Linked DNA regions of Kluyveromyces lactis. The protein of the gene in region 1 purifies or fractionates together with the protein of each later gene. This does not show direct contact. Links are inferred from orthologs where the notes say so. Each region holds a gene or a part of one and is shown on either strand. Other genes may lie near its edges.

The links.
Region 2: the proteins of RPS15 (region 1) and CRM1 purify together in Saccharomyces cerevisiae (affinity purification with mass spectrometry; 3 studies listed by BioGRID). This does not show direct contact. The link is inferred for Kluyveromyces lactis from reciprocal best matches to the Saccharomyces cerevisiae genes RPS15 and CRM1.
Region 3: the proteins of RPS15 (region 1) and RIO1 purify together in Saccharomyces cerevisiae (affinity purification with mass spectrometry; 3 studies listed by BioGRID). This does not show direct contact. The link is inferred for Kluyveromyces lactis from reciprocal best matches to the Saccharomyces cerevisiae genes RPS15 and RIO1.

Annotation. Positions count from the first base shown.
Region 1 is NC_006042.1:738,308-742,221, forward strand, and holds RPS15 (40S ribosomal protein uS19), read right to left. Parts: upstream 1,783-3,914; coding exon 1,354-1,782; downstream 1-1,353. Other genes in the region: Rpd3L histone deacetylase complex subunit DEP1, read left to right, coding at 1-567; RPP2A (ribosomal protein P2 alpha), read left to right, coding at 2,790-3,110; KLLA0_F07887g (uncharacterized protein), read left to right, coding at 3,658-3,914. UniProt on the Saccharomyces cerevisiae protein: Component of the ribosome, a large ribonucleoprotein complex responsible for the synthesis of proteins in the cell.
Region 2 is NC_006041.1:1,428,147-1,433,992, forward strand, and holds CRM1 (exportin CRM1), read right to left. Parts: upstream 3,846-5,846; coding exon 585-3,845; downstream 1-584. Other genes in the region: MRPL9 (mitochondrial 54S ribosomal protein uL3m), read left to right, coding at 1-215; calcium channel protein CCH1, read right to left, coding at 4,421-5,846. UniProt on the Saccharomyces cerevisiae protein: Receptor for the leucine-rich nuclear export signal (NES).
Region 3 is NC_006041.1:1,884,227-1,889,332, reverse strand, and holds RIO1 (protein kinase RIO1), read right to left. Parts: upstream 2,882-5,106; coding exon 1,301-2,881; downstream 1-1,300. Other genes in the region: RTC5 (Rtc5p), read left to right, coding at 1-1,248; KEI1 (Kei1p), read left to right, coding at 3,206-3,241, 3,357-3,995; ARG8 (acetylornithine transaminase), read left to right, coding at 4,610-5,106. UniProt on the Saccharomyces cerevisiae protein: Required for the final endonucleolytic cleavage at site D converting 20S pre-rRNA into the mature 18S rRNA. Required for the final steps of cytoplasmic maturation of the 40S ribosomal subunit.

The DNA.
Region 1 (3,914 bases):
CATCCTCAACTACAGACTTATTATCAGAAGATTGCTTCGATACGGGACTTTAAGCTAAAGAGAATGTACCAAAGGCAAAAGTATGAGCTGGAGTGCATAGATACCGAAACTAGGGCGACAAGAACGTTTATTCATCAAGATTTCTACAGAAAGGTCTCAGATTTGAAACATAAGTTATTAGGAAACACAACCCAGAAGTGGTATGACATCAATAAAGAGAGACGTGAAATGGACGTTGTTGTACCTGAAGTAAATTATCACGTTCCAATAAAAATTTCAAATAAATCTTTGAGTTGTATAACCGGATACGCAGCTCCTGCCAATCTGAGACGTCCAGGCGACTTGTTATCAGAAGATTTATTATGTGAAAATATCAATTTCAGATATCATAACAACCCTGTCGATAAGTTAGAAGTCATTGTAGACAGAATGAGGTTTAATAATGAATTGAGCGACTTAGATGGTATAAGGAAATTCTATGGAGGATTCCCAGGTGCTCCTGAACTTGGTGGTTTAAAAGATTCTGAAATTCATGAGGATCTTGCAGGAATACAGCATCAACAATAGGTCATATAATTTTTCACTAGGTGCTCCAAAAACCAGAAAACACGCTCTTATCAATAGTCAATAAAATGTCATCTTGATGAATCATCATTTAATTATCGTTTTGTTATGATGTGTAATCTTTACAAGTATAATATATGCATGACTGTGTATATGTATAGCACTTTTAACATTTCCACGATATGAAAGTGTATTCGAATTGACATCTGTGAATTCGAGAAACCTTGATATTTTAAAATATACAAAGATGTATGTTATATATGGAATAGAAGATATACTTCCTACTAATTAAACATTTGTTGGACGTTGGTAGAGATAAAAGCGTAAATAATAAAAAGATGAGAAAGAAACCCCAAAAATAGTAGTCCTTGTGAAGTGAGGAAAGGTTGTGATGAATTGGTCAGATTCCAATGTGAAGCGAAATATCTTTATTTTATTAAGACACCAGGATAGAAATAAAACTTATAATAAACCGTATCCAACCCGATGATATTTTTCTATAAGAAACAAAGGGATCGATATCATGATTTGATGTCCAAATTAAAAGGGCATTTGAGGATGACAACTGGATCAATTTTTAAGTTTTCTGGAATAATTCTGCGTATATCATTGATATAATCGCAGATTTAAAATTCGGTACCACATGATAATACGAGGGAATCTGGATACTATATCAATGCCCAAAACTTCTTAAGTGTCCGAACTTCAAAAAAAAAACAGAGAAGCGTATTTTGTCAAGGGGAAATTTTTTCTTGGAGTTCTTGCAATAGTTCTTATCAATAAAGTAGTTTATCTCAATGGGATGAAACGAGAGGTGGTGGCACCAGCTCTACCATGTCTAACTGGAGTGTAGGTGATAGAGAATTCACCCAAGTAGTGACCGACCATTTCAGGTCTGATTTCGACTTGGTTGAAGACCTTACCGTTGTAAACACCAACAACAGAACCAATCATTTCTGGAACGATGATCATGTTTCTCAAGTGAGTTCTGACAACAGCTGGCTTTTCATTTTCTGGAGCAGACAATTTAGCAGCTCTCAACTTCTTCATCAAACCAGCTGGCTTTTCAGACAAACCACGAGCGAACTTTCTTCTAACTCTGGCTGGGGCCAACTTAACGAAGTCTTCAGTTGGCATTTCCAACAACTTTTCTAGGTCAACACCCTTGTAAGAGTAGGTCTTGAAGGATCTCTTTCTTGGAGCAGCGGCTTCAGACATGTTGGCTTGCTTTCTTATTGTATGGTTCGGTGAGTTAAGCTAAACAACAAAAAGGAAAAGGAAAATTAAACCAAGCTCTATTGAAACCTTCTATTATAAAAAGAATACGTGAAATGAATTGCAATATCAACTAAAATCTCTATGTGAAATCAACAAAAGCTGTAACTATCAAAAAAAGCATTAAATTCAAACTGAGATTGTTCGTATTGGTGAAAAAGGTCGATATCCTCAAACTTCGCAATGATTCTGAAAAGTTCACCAAAAAAATCATTCAATGGTAGGACCCATACTAGGGAACCAAGCTGTTCGCAGAGACAATAGCGGAGGAGAAGATGGGCCCTATTCCCAGCTGGAAGCATGGGTTGGACGGGGGAGACGGTAAGGTTAGGCAGGAAGCTTTGCTACCGGTAGGCAGGCCAGTAAGCTTGCACTCCGTGTACCCAACAGGGTGGAGAACAGGGAGGGAGTGGAACCGGAGCGTAGGAGGAAATTGGCGAGTCTGCCTACAGATTGTAAGTTCGGTGCGAAAAAATTAGTAAGTGGTGAGACTCAAAATGAAAATAAGGGACTGTTACCACAATACACCACATATAAAAATGCGTTTAAATCCTATTACTATATGTACACCGCACTTTGTTGTTTTCTTACCATCCATATCTTTTAAGTTTTTCGTCCGAAAAAGGAAAACATCTAGGCGACCAATTCCACTGATTTTCTTTAGCACTGGAAAATCGAGGAATCTGGTTCCCAATCTGCAATTCGATGGAATCAGTGCGAGAGTTAGTACTCTCACAGTGGAAAGCTTCAACGCTTTCCAATGGCGCCCGGTAATTCTCTCTACCTTGACGAATCTTCAACATTTTTGTCAATTGATTAGAGGTTTACAATACACGTTTAAGGTTTAAGTGCCTTTATATTTTAATTGTTAAAGGCATAATACTGTTTAATTCTTGGTATAGTTCACGTAATTCTCCCCAGAAACCTCGACAAATATTGAACGCTTAAAGATGAAGTACTTGGCCGCTTACTTGTTATTAAACGCCGCTGGCAACACCCCATCCTCTGACAATGTCAAGGCTGTTTTAGAATCCGTTGGAATCGAAGTTGAAGAAGAAAAGGTTTCTTCTTTGTTGTCCGCTTTGGAAGGTAAGTCTGTTGAAGAACTTATCGCTGAAGGTACCGAAAAGTTGGCCTCTGTCCCAGCTTCTTCTGGTGCTGCTGCCTCTGGTGCTGCTGCTTCCGGTGCTTCCGAAGCTGCTGCTGAAGAAGCTCCAGAATCCGAAAAGGAAGAATCTGATGACGACATGGGTTTCGGTCTATTCGATTAAACAAATCAATTTTAAAGGGACTTACACAATAATGAACAAGAACTTTTGATATCCTGAAATTTTTGCAAGGCTAAACCAGCAATAACTTTCACATAATGGATGTTATGGTTGTTCTAATTTTTCTATCTATTCTTTTATTATTCTACGTTTAACGTTTCAAACCTCATACAAACCGTTCCTCACACACGCTCAGCATTTGCATTCAACGGGAACAGAATAAATCAAAAGGTGGGAATTCTTTGCATTTTTTTGTAAGGATACCTATGTACTATCCATTGCCCATTATCAATGCTTACTATTCATGTACAACTACATCAAACCAGTATACAGGATCTATATCTGATAATAATAAAAACATTACTACTCAGTGATTTTACTCAAAATATAATCGGCGCTGTCCTACTGTCTGTAATGGCTGACAATATACAATTGAGTTGTAAATATAACAATCACGTGACATCAATCACGTGATGTTTATTTATTTATTTTTTCTAGTTATTCCGCCTCTTGCCGAGATGACAAATTTCTATTCAACTGTGGCTCTACTATGTCTTCTGGAGCTCATTTCTTTTCCATGAAAATATGTGGCGCTTTGTTGATGATATCGCATGTTCACGTGCAATTGTACAGACACACAGGCAGCTCTAGTGACAGACAGGGAGGCAACTTACAGAAATGGATCCAAAGGCCAAGGGAATTCGATTCCAATTGCGGATTTGGTAAGGCTGCTTTGGCTGCTTCGTTTTGGGTCTCGAATGACAAACGAATTTTTCCCACTGAGTTCTCTCATTTCTTTCCTGCATT
Region 2 (5,846 bases), on another chromosome or scaffold:
GTGGTTCTTACGGTCAAAATCAAACACCTGGTCGTGTGTTGCCTGGGAAAAAGATGCCTGGTCATATGGGTGTCGACACTGTAACAATTCAAAACGTGCAAGTGCTGGACGTCAACGACGAAACAGGTACTGTCTTGGTGAAGGGCTCTGTCGCAGGTCCAAATGGTGCATTCGTTAAGATCCAAGATGCTATCAAAAAGCCAACCCCAGTATAAAAAACTGTGATTAAGAAATTGAATCTTTTCAGTCGTTTAGACACCGTCCCGAAATCATTTGGAAAGCATGCCTTTCTACGGTTATTATTAACAATCTATACCTGTATATACACCAATTATAAAATAGTAACTGCTGCAACGTTGAGTGTCCTTTTCAACCAGATATTTAATGGCTTTCATACGTTGATACTGGATCCTGGGTATATGTCGGAGAGAATTGATTACAATTTTTTTCTCTATGTGGGAAGATATACGGCCTGCTATGTATATATTTGCCTTGCTTGACAAGTGTTAGTTTCAGCTTTCATTGGATCCGCAGAAACTTTTTCGTTTCTTGACCATGCTGTACATTTCTGTAAGGTGTTATCTTTACTCATCATCATCCAATTCCGATGGTTTCAATAACCCACCGATCTTGGAAGCTCTTTCTCTTTCAAGTTTATGTTGTTCCGCGAGAGCTTGTTCTTTGTCCTCTGCGAACAAATAATCGGTTGGATCTCCACCGAACTCCTTGATCTGGACCAAGAAATCTCTAATAGTACCAGTGAAATGCTTTGGATCATGATATTGTTTGAGTAGCGCTTGAATGAAGTTCATAACCTGTTCACCACTCAAATGAGGGAATGCATTGCTTAACATGGTTGCTAGATAGTTAGCCAAGTAAGCTTGATTAGAAGTGACTGCAGGAGCTTCATCTTCCTTGTATAATGGTACAGCTATTCTATTTTCTTCTACTCTGGCAATCAAATTCATTAAAAGATGAGCTTGCTTGCTGAATCCAGATTTGTGATCTGAATCAGTGAGGACATAGAAGGTTTCGCTAAGGAATGTGAAGTAATAGTTCTTGTAGAAATCGTTAGAGAATTCAGACGGACTAGCGGAATCAACGTTTTGAATAAGGTCTAAAGCAATTTGTAACCCATTTACCTCAACATCTCTGTTGTTGTGTTTGAACGCCCAACATATGGCATCAACGAAAAGTTTGAAAGCCGGTGGTGGTAGTTGAGATATCGCTACGAAACACTTGGAGTTGATGGCCCTCAATAATTTATAAAACTCCACACGATGTTCCGGATATTCCGTGAAATCTTTATTGATCATGTCTAATGTAGCTTCAAAGACACTCTGTAAAATCAAAATGACACCGCTGATCATCATAGGCCCAACTTTGTTGACAAGTGTGGTCATACAACTTAAAATCTCAGCGTCACGGGCATCTGGTACGGTAATGTAGTAATCCCGTAACACAGAGTCAAACAGTGCTGATGCCAAGTCATTTACGATGTAGTCTAAATCCTTTGCACTGGAAATGTATAATTCCATTAATTTTAGAATTTCTTTCTTGATTGTTCTTAAACCTCTTACCTTTGGAGTCTTAGTAGCAATAATCCCATCGCTGGCTACTTGTGTTGAAATACATCTAGACACAGCTGAGCACAATGACATCATTGGTGTGAAGTTACGACTCAACTGCGGAGCAAAGTCATTACCCATAGCGGAACAAACGGCAACGTTTGTCTTTAGAATATTGGTAACGATTTTCACAGTTTCAGGGTCCGACAAAATATCCAGATGAGTAGATGATTGCTGAATTATAGCGTCCCATGCCATGTTAGGGAGTTGCATCAAATCTGCTAGTAATCTTTGTTTTTCTCCTGGGTTTCTTTCATCAGAAATAATTAAACCGCAAGCCTTGTAAAATGTGTGTACTTGCTGAGGTTGAAGATCGGAGGTGTGGTCTTGAATGTTTCTAATTATTGCCTGGATGAAAGGTTCACTTTCGTTTGGCTGTTGAACGACAAAGTGACGTTTACATCTCTGTACAATCTTGATGAAGGTGTCACAGGCCATATCTTGAACACCCTCATGGGTTTCATGCATAAATTCAAATAGTTTTAGAATGACTGTCTTCAAGAACTTCCAATGAGCTTTTAAGAAACGTGGGTACTGACCGACAACGTACATAATGTTCGATGCAACAACAGCCTTGTTGTCCTTACCGCGCTTTTTATCAGTCAAGGCTAAAAGATCTTTAATGATTGTAACGACAAATTTTTTCTCAGTTTCCTCGTCCATAGTACCAGAAATAGAACCAATAGCCCAACACAATGTGTTGATGTTGTGCCATGACCATTCAGAGCCATCAAGTTGCTTTGCCAATTTATTCAACATGATGTCTTCAGTATCAAGAACATCTAAATGCGTCAAGTAAACAAGTACTTCCCTTTCGGACTTATATAACTGAATTGTGTCCGACTCCTTAACAAACTCTCTGACGATTTCACCTTCATCGTTTTCCACAATAAGAACTTCCTCTGGTCTAACCATCGATTCTATTATAACCCATCTTAACTGAGAACAGATGTTATCGTAAATGTGTTTCTTTAACGGGAACCTTTTCAAGAATTCCGGGTGAGGAGCACCATTGCTCCCTGAGAACATATTCGATCCTTGAGATAGTTTCAATAGGACGTTATTCTGATTTTGAGGGATTTGTTGCACCTCTTGGTACAAGGCCGAAACCAAATTATTCCAGTAGTCCAAAGTCGTTTTGAACAATTCTCTTTCGTCAATCTTCGAAAGTTCAATCAAATATTGATGCGCAGTAATTAATAGTTCCCTCAAGGATTCATCATCTTCTAATATTGAACGGTGTCTGGCCAAATAGGTAGTCAAGAACATGGCAAAATCTTGCAAAAATGATTGATCGTTGCCATTAGCAGTAGCATATGTGTTCTTCAAGTCAGCATTCACCGGTATAACGTTAACAGCAATTTGTTGCAAAGCATTTTGGAAAAACATTACAGTTAACGAAGCAATCTTTGGGTCATTTGCTGGAATATCAAGTTGAGAAACTTCAGTCAAACATTTCAAAGTAATAGCTCTGGTGTCAGCAGAGACTAAAAATTTCGTACTCAACAATTGCAAAATATCAGTGTTGTAGATGTAACGGTATGGGATCCAATGCAAGTATCTCAAAAGAGATTGCAAAGTGGCCACCATAAGGGATGGAGAAGATGCGGTTTCCAAAATTTCGTAACATAGATTGAAAATCTGTTCAAATTGTTGATCCATAGATTGTTTTAAATGTAGTGCTTTAGCTTGCGTCATTTGCTCTGCAGAGAAATCAAAGACTTCCTCACTTAATAACTTTAGCATTACCATGTTGTTTTCACATACGTTTACACTAGCTTGGGAACTGAGAACCAACTCCGGGATGAAGTCTGGCCAGTTTTCTGGCCAGTCCTGCTTAAGAATTTGAACCAAGGTTAAATCAGACTTATGAATCAAATTCTTCTGAGTTTGGAAAACCTGATCATCTTGACACATTGAAATAATCATTCCAACGATGAAATTACGAATTCCAAGTCTATGCTCCTGAGGTAACATCTTCCATTTCGTCGTAATTAACTTATCCAAAATGGAAAGCCCAATGAACTTCGTTTGCGGATTATTTGAATACTGCAAGATTTTATCAGCCCTTTGCCAAGCATCTGGATGGTCCTTCAATTTAGTAAGAACCTCTTGTGCCTCCTTTTGAGACGCACCAGAGCCCTTGAAAAAGGTATCCACCACTTGATCTAGGAGCTGGATGTCTAAGTCCCGAGAAAAGTCTAAAACAGCCTCCATATTGATTTAGAAAGAAGAACGTGTGTGTGGATCTCTTTTTACTATTTTCCTATGAGTACAGTGCAGTAGTATCCTTCTTATGAAAAGACCCTGATTAATTAAATGCAATGTCTTGTTCCTTTAGTCTGCTGTATAAATTCCACCAAGATTCGAATTCACAGCTGCAATTTCCGAAATAAATAATAAAGAAAGAAAAAAAAATACACCGGACTATAGTTTTCTTATTTAGCACTGAACAGTAACGGTTGAATCTAGTACGAACAAAAGTGACTCGATAGCACGCTGCCAGATCTAAAATTTATCTAACAAATACATGTTAACATTCTGTTTACTTTAGACCCCAAACCCTATCAATTGAAGGTTTTGGCTTTAGTAAAACTGCTTCTTTCGAAAAATCAATAATGGTAGGGTAACTAAATTCGTGCCTTGTGATGGCTTTAGGCGTGGCGCCCAAACATACACGTGATCTGAAATCTTTTCCTTTAGTTAATCAAAAAAGGTACTCTTCTGTGGGTATACAAGTCTATATATGTAACAAATGATGGAACATAAATTAAGATTAGGTACTCATTGATCTAAGATGATGATGAGGATGAGTCGGTTGTTCCTGGTTTGGTAGATGTGTCTTTGATCAGAGTTCGAGATGTATTTTCTTTTGAGCTACTTTCATCTTCTTCAAACCAGTGATTGTTGCGACGGCCTGGCGACCACATAAACTCTGATTCCTGGGTATTTAAAACAGGTGACTTAAACTCAAGCTCGAAATCTTCAGTGGATCCGTTTGGATAAGAGGATATTGGCACCATTATTTTAGGTAGTTGTATCTTGCCTCTACGGTTCAGTAAAAATTTCCATCTTGCGACAACCATTAGCATGGTATCGTAGTTTCTCTCGTTCCGGATCAGTTTATCAACTTTGTTCATGTCGTATAAATTTTTCACATAATCATCGATCCCAAGACATTCAGTCTTGTTATATGTAGTGTACAATGGAACTGTTTCCATCAGCTGATTGAACTGCACGGCGTTGTATCTCTTATTTCCCAGCTGAATTTCATGGACAAATCTGTTATAATCTAGTCGTCTGGCGTTCACTTTTTGATAGTCTATAGAGGAAAGTTCTTTGCTGAGTCCGAAGTGATCAATTTCAACATCATATGGATCGTTTGGGTTTACTTTCATGTATTTAGACACCAAACTCTTAACAGTAAGTCTTCCCTCCCAAATTTTAAACGAGAGGGGTCCATCAAACGAGTGCATGAATTTTGGTAAGTACGCGACATCAAATTGCCCTACACCATCAGGATCAATTTCCCTCCATGCCACTTTGAATTTCCTCACTTCTTCTTGGCTTGCTGGTGAGTGCTTATTTTCCTCTCTATGATAGACGTAGCTGAACTTTTCTACGATTAAGGAAACGAACATATTAACGAAAATGTACATGGAAATTATATTCCAGGACATTAGTAAAGCATACGCGAAAGCTTTTGAACCACAATCAGTATAGCTTCCATCAGCTTCAGAGTAACAAAATGGTTCTTCTATTGTCAAATCATTCATGATATAGTTCCAACCTTCACCGAAACTGCATCTAAACAATAAAATCAAAGATTTCGTCACCGTTCTACAATTAATGTTCCCCGTGGTATTAGGACCTAATTTTGTTACTCCAAATACTTGATTTAAGGCAATAGCATACACAAGGAACAAAATGAACCATGTATAAACCAATGAGAAAATAGATGGTAAACTCGCAGTAGCTGTGTTCATTAATTCATTCAAAGTATCATTCTGAGGAATCACTAAAAGGAAGATTCCCAACTGGAAAACATCACGCGCATTGGAAATACCCACCACGACATGATCGACAATGAGTTCATATATATTAGTTGCAAATGCAAACATCACAACGACACAACGAAATATATTCCAACGTTTTCTTGCATATAGCCGCATTGATTTCCCGTATATATGCATGACTTCTTGAATGAGTAAAAATGAT
Region 3 (5,106 bases), on another chromosome or scaffold:
GATTGGAAAGGGGTCATTAGATCTTATAACGGAACTGATTTTGATGAATTGAAAGTAAATGCAAATAATCTTCTTCACTTTTTGGCATTGATATTGGCTCTTTCTCGCTGCTGCATTTTGAACAATTGTAAAATTGACAATGATGTTTTGGCGAAGAGCTTAGAGGACTTCAAACATCAAGCTCTTAATATTGTACGCACAATGAACCCCGAGATTATATCAATGTCAGACTGTTTGGATTCATCAATCACATATACCCAATTTTCCATGGCCGTTAATGATGTTGCCCCTAATCTTTTAAATCCCTTGAAAATGCTAATGGAACATGTTCTTTATATGGATAGAGATCTCGTAGACGCGGACGTTCTTCAACCAATCTCAAATCCTACTAAAATTGTAAATGAATCTGAGCTATCGCAGTTAGCAACTTTTTTACCGAAGGAGATTGTTTTCTCCAGGTTCCAGAAATTATATGTTGGAAGGGAATCGGGCTTTTCTATGAGATCTTTCCAATCTAAGGTCTTCAAGTGGATGGCACCTACGATATTATTCGTAGAGGGTATGAGAATTCGTGACGAGGACGATGAAGATGGCGATGCTTATGCCGTGAAAAATCCAAGGTATAGAAACTTTCTGCAAGAATATGGTAAGTTAAAAAGTGAAGATCAACATTTGGATACGTTAAGTAAGAAAAAACGAAAATTGTTATTTGCTGTTTGTATTCGCGACCCATGGAAAGTATCAAATAAAGATTTGTTTGGTGATTCGTCTACAAAAATTATCCAACTTCATCCAAGACAAGAGATCTTCGATGCGGACCCATTCAAGACAGGAAACGTATATTTCAACACTGTTGGGGGAGGTATAGGTATTGGTAGCTCTCAACCTATCATCAAAGCTAACGGTAAAAAATACTTCCCAGGAAATGTTTCACTTACTATTGATTCATCTCTCGAGTTCGGTATATTTAGACATTTGGGAGCAGGTGGGAGTTTTAAGCCTGGCCGTCTAATAAGTGGACGTGGAGAAGAACGGAATTCGTTCGAATACCGATTCATAATCCAAGATGTAGAAGTGTGGGGATGCGGAGGAGAAAAAGAGCTCGAAGAGCAAGTAAAGCAATGGCAATGGGAAGAGGCCGAAGCCAAAAGAAGGCAAAAGATCAACTTACAAAGCATGGGAGAAGATCGTGCATTATTGGAAATGGCAGGTCTTGTAGGGCAACATCAAAGCGGTGGATCTATTTAAAATCGCTAAGTAAATATTAAATATTTGAAATTGCATAGAATTTTTAAATTGATCATTTCTTGCTTTTCGTCTTGTTAATGAGCTTTTTCTTAACGTGTTTTTTTACTTTGGTCTTCCTCTTTTCACGTTTGGCCTCTTTTGTTTCTTGCTTACGTTGTTTTTTAGCATCTTTATCTTCGTACTTTTTTCCTTTCAGTGGAGTGTCTTTATCGGAGACCCATCCATCACCATCAGAACTATCGTTAGTTTCATCACTATCATCATCTTCATCTGATCCAGCTATGTCATCTTCATTGATATCCGTTACGAGGTTAGGGAGATCATCACCATCTACGTCATCTTCCTCGTCATCAGAAGAAGAGAGTTCATATTGCTCCGATGCTGTGAAATTTTCGGAATATTTCCTGTTTTCATTAGCAATTAATGATTTCAGTAGGTCAAATTTACCATCAGTGAATCTATCAAAATCTCTTTCCTCTAAACCACCCAAATTTCTTATCAAATGTAAAGATCTGAACACTTCATCTTCAGCTTCGTCTTCATCAGTCAACTTTAGAGGTAAATTGTCGGCAACATATGTTTCTAGATCATCGCTTGATCTGTAATCACCCTTGAATTTGTCTAAGACCTCACTGATGATGAACTGGAAGATCACCCGTTCAGGGAAAATGTCAATTCCCAATTTTTGGAAATATGAGTTAACATTCTTAATATCCATTCTTAGGAAATCTAGAGACATAGGATGTTCTGGTTGTACGGATTGCGAAACATCAATAATATAAAGCTTATCCTCATGTACAATACTATTATACTCACTCAAGTCTGCATGAACTAAGCGACATACCTGATATAACAGTCTCATGTACGCTATCATTAAATTGTAGTAATGTTTAATTTCTTCTCTATCTTTGTAAGGATGATCTTTAAGCCTCGGAGATGCGAAACCATCTCCTCTATTTAAAAATTCCATGACTAAAACGTTTGATCTAACTTCTATTGGTTTTGGACAAGGTATGACACCGCTTTGGTATATTCTCTTCAAGTTTCTAAATTCCTTTTCAGCCCAAATTTTGATCATCTTACGAGGATTATGTTGAGATCTCGAATTTCTGAATCTAAATTCACCATCAACGTATCTTTCACGATCCTTAAAAACCAAGATAGATGTCTTGTAAATCTTCACCGCGTATTCCTTCTTATTTTTTGGTTCATCAGTGGCAGTTGAAGTGGATGTGGCATCCTCAGATTCGGCAGTTAGAGCTTTTTGTTTTGTTGATTCAATATTTTGTGGGGCTCCTATTGTATCATCATGTCCCTCTACCAGCAGATGTCTCTCCTCATGATTACCAGCAAACGCATGGTACACGTTTGCTTCTTTACCTGTACTCAAACAACCATTAAATGCTGATAATATTCCCCTGTTCATCATGGATTTCAAAAACCTCATCGTACGTGGGTCTAAAACATTCTCTACAGTGGCCCTATTCGCCTTATCTTTGCTGGTTTTACCCCTAGTTAATGATAACTCATCTGTTTTGATGCTATTGGCATACCTCTCTAGGATCTGAGTGTTGACATGCTCATCACGGTTGGCTAAATTCAGTTTTTCCAGCTTATCGTCAATATTCATCATTCGTAGTCCAACTATAGATAACTTCTGCTTTCTGATTTACTAATTTGACAATACACAGGAGCTGAACGGCGTATATTGTTCTGTAAATAACCACTATTCCAACCTCATCGCTCATCTTGTACACCATTAAAGTAAAGTAGCGTACTTTTTTTTTTCCTACGTTTTTTTTTCACGATGCTCTAGACAGGATCGCGAATTGCTTTTCAATAGAGGAAATAGTTGTAAACATTCTAAAACGCTCAGTAGATGAATTGAAAGGTCTACCTGTGTAAGTGGAAGAAACCAACTTGCTTTAACGTCAGGGTTTGTCCTTATTATACTCCTATGCAGCAGCAATCAAATATGGTTCATTTGCCACAAGTATGTTTCTTTTGGGTATTTAACCGCAGTTGAAAGACGTTTTTACATGATCGTTTGATGCATGGTTTTTTTTTGATACCAGTAATATGTACTAACAGATGACATTGCCCTTTAGACATTCCTGTCTTATCCCTTGTACATAGGTGTTGAGGTTGCACTTGGTGTGCTAACCTTCAACAAATTCAGCGGGATGTATGGTGTTCTTGCACTTTTCACTGGACACCCGTTAGACTTTGTGCAATGGACTTTTTACATCTGGTCAATTTTCTGTCTAGTGGTATTCATTTCAGGAATAAGACAAGTTTATAAGCCCAATATCCTCTTAATGTCCACGGTTACTTTTGTGTTCAGTGTGGACACAATTGTTAGTTGCATTTACTGCTTATGGTTCACTGCTGTGTGGTTCAGCCAGGAGGGCTCCACTGACGTTACGGACTTGAAGAGCGCGGGAACCGCACTTGGACCAGCTCATGAGGGAACCACATCCACGATCTCAACTAAAGTAGATACTTCTAAGAGTGCTTCTAGCGGCTATGAATTTTTCCTCATCATATTGCTAACTTTAGTTCCACTAGCAGTCAGATTCTATTTCAATTTCATCATAATTGCATTCCAACAACAACTATTGCGCAGTGGGAAGTTCACATTCGATCAGAACGATATAGAAGTCAATCTACACAACAGAAACATTTTGTTTAAATGGAGATACAAATTCGAAAAATGGTGTTTCTACCTATGCAAGAGATACTTATAGCCCGGTACCCTTTAAACACATCATTATATAGATACGGACTAATATTATCATATAGCTAACATTGCATCATTGTCTTTTCAAAAAGTGGTCCAAGTGGGGTTCGAACACGGAATTAATTCCTAATCAGAGAGCAATTTTTTGATAAGATGCACCATCCTATTGAGAGATCAGTAAGAGTGACTCATAAAAAAAAGCGAACACAAGACCATCAATTGGCACTGGATATGACACACAATGCGTGATCACTCTTGACAGGGTACCTCTTTATACAATGAAGCTTGCATCGCTCATTGTTCCTGGTTTTCACCTCTGATTCATATCTTCAGGACTCTATTGTATTGTTCTTTCTCACTCATTATGTGCATCTATGCCGTTAGCTGTTTTTTTCTTTATATATACTGCAATGTGAAGTATTTCCATTTAGGAAGTTTCTTCAAAAATCTCATCGCTAACCATATCACTTAACGGTAAGTTGATCTGAATAGATAATAAAGGGCACTGCAGTGTTAGTTACTAGACTTTGGAATCTGCTTAGTATCCTGCATCCTGTACGCTACATTAGATAATCAAATTGAACCGGTCGAAAAGGCTTCCTTCCATACTTTAACCCAATAATGAGAGTTATCCGTCAATTACACACTTCTAAAAGATTGTTGCAATCTTTAGTCGATAAACAAAAATACCAGGCAACCACTTATGCCAGACCTAATCATTTGGTTCTGACTAGAGGTAAGAACGCCATTCTTTATGATGATGTTAACAATAAAGAATATATTGATTTCACTGCTGGTATCGCAGTAACTGCTTTGGGACATGCCAATCCGGAAGTGGCTGAGATCATGTACAAACAAAGTAAGAAACTGATCCATTCTTCTAACTTGTACTATAATGAGGAATGTCTGAAGTTGAGTGAAAATCTAGTGGAAGCTACTAAATCGTTTGGTGGTCAATACGATGCATCCAGAGTTTTTCTATGTAATTCCGGTACCGAAGCCAACGAAGCTGCATTGAAATTCGCCAAGAGATACGGTATCCTAAAAAGCCCATCGAAGCAAGGTATAATTGCGTTCCAAAACTCTTTTCATGGTCGTACCATGGGTGCTTTGTCTGT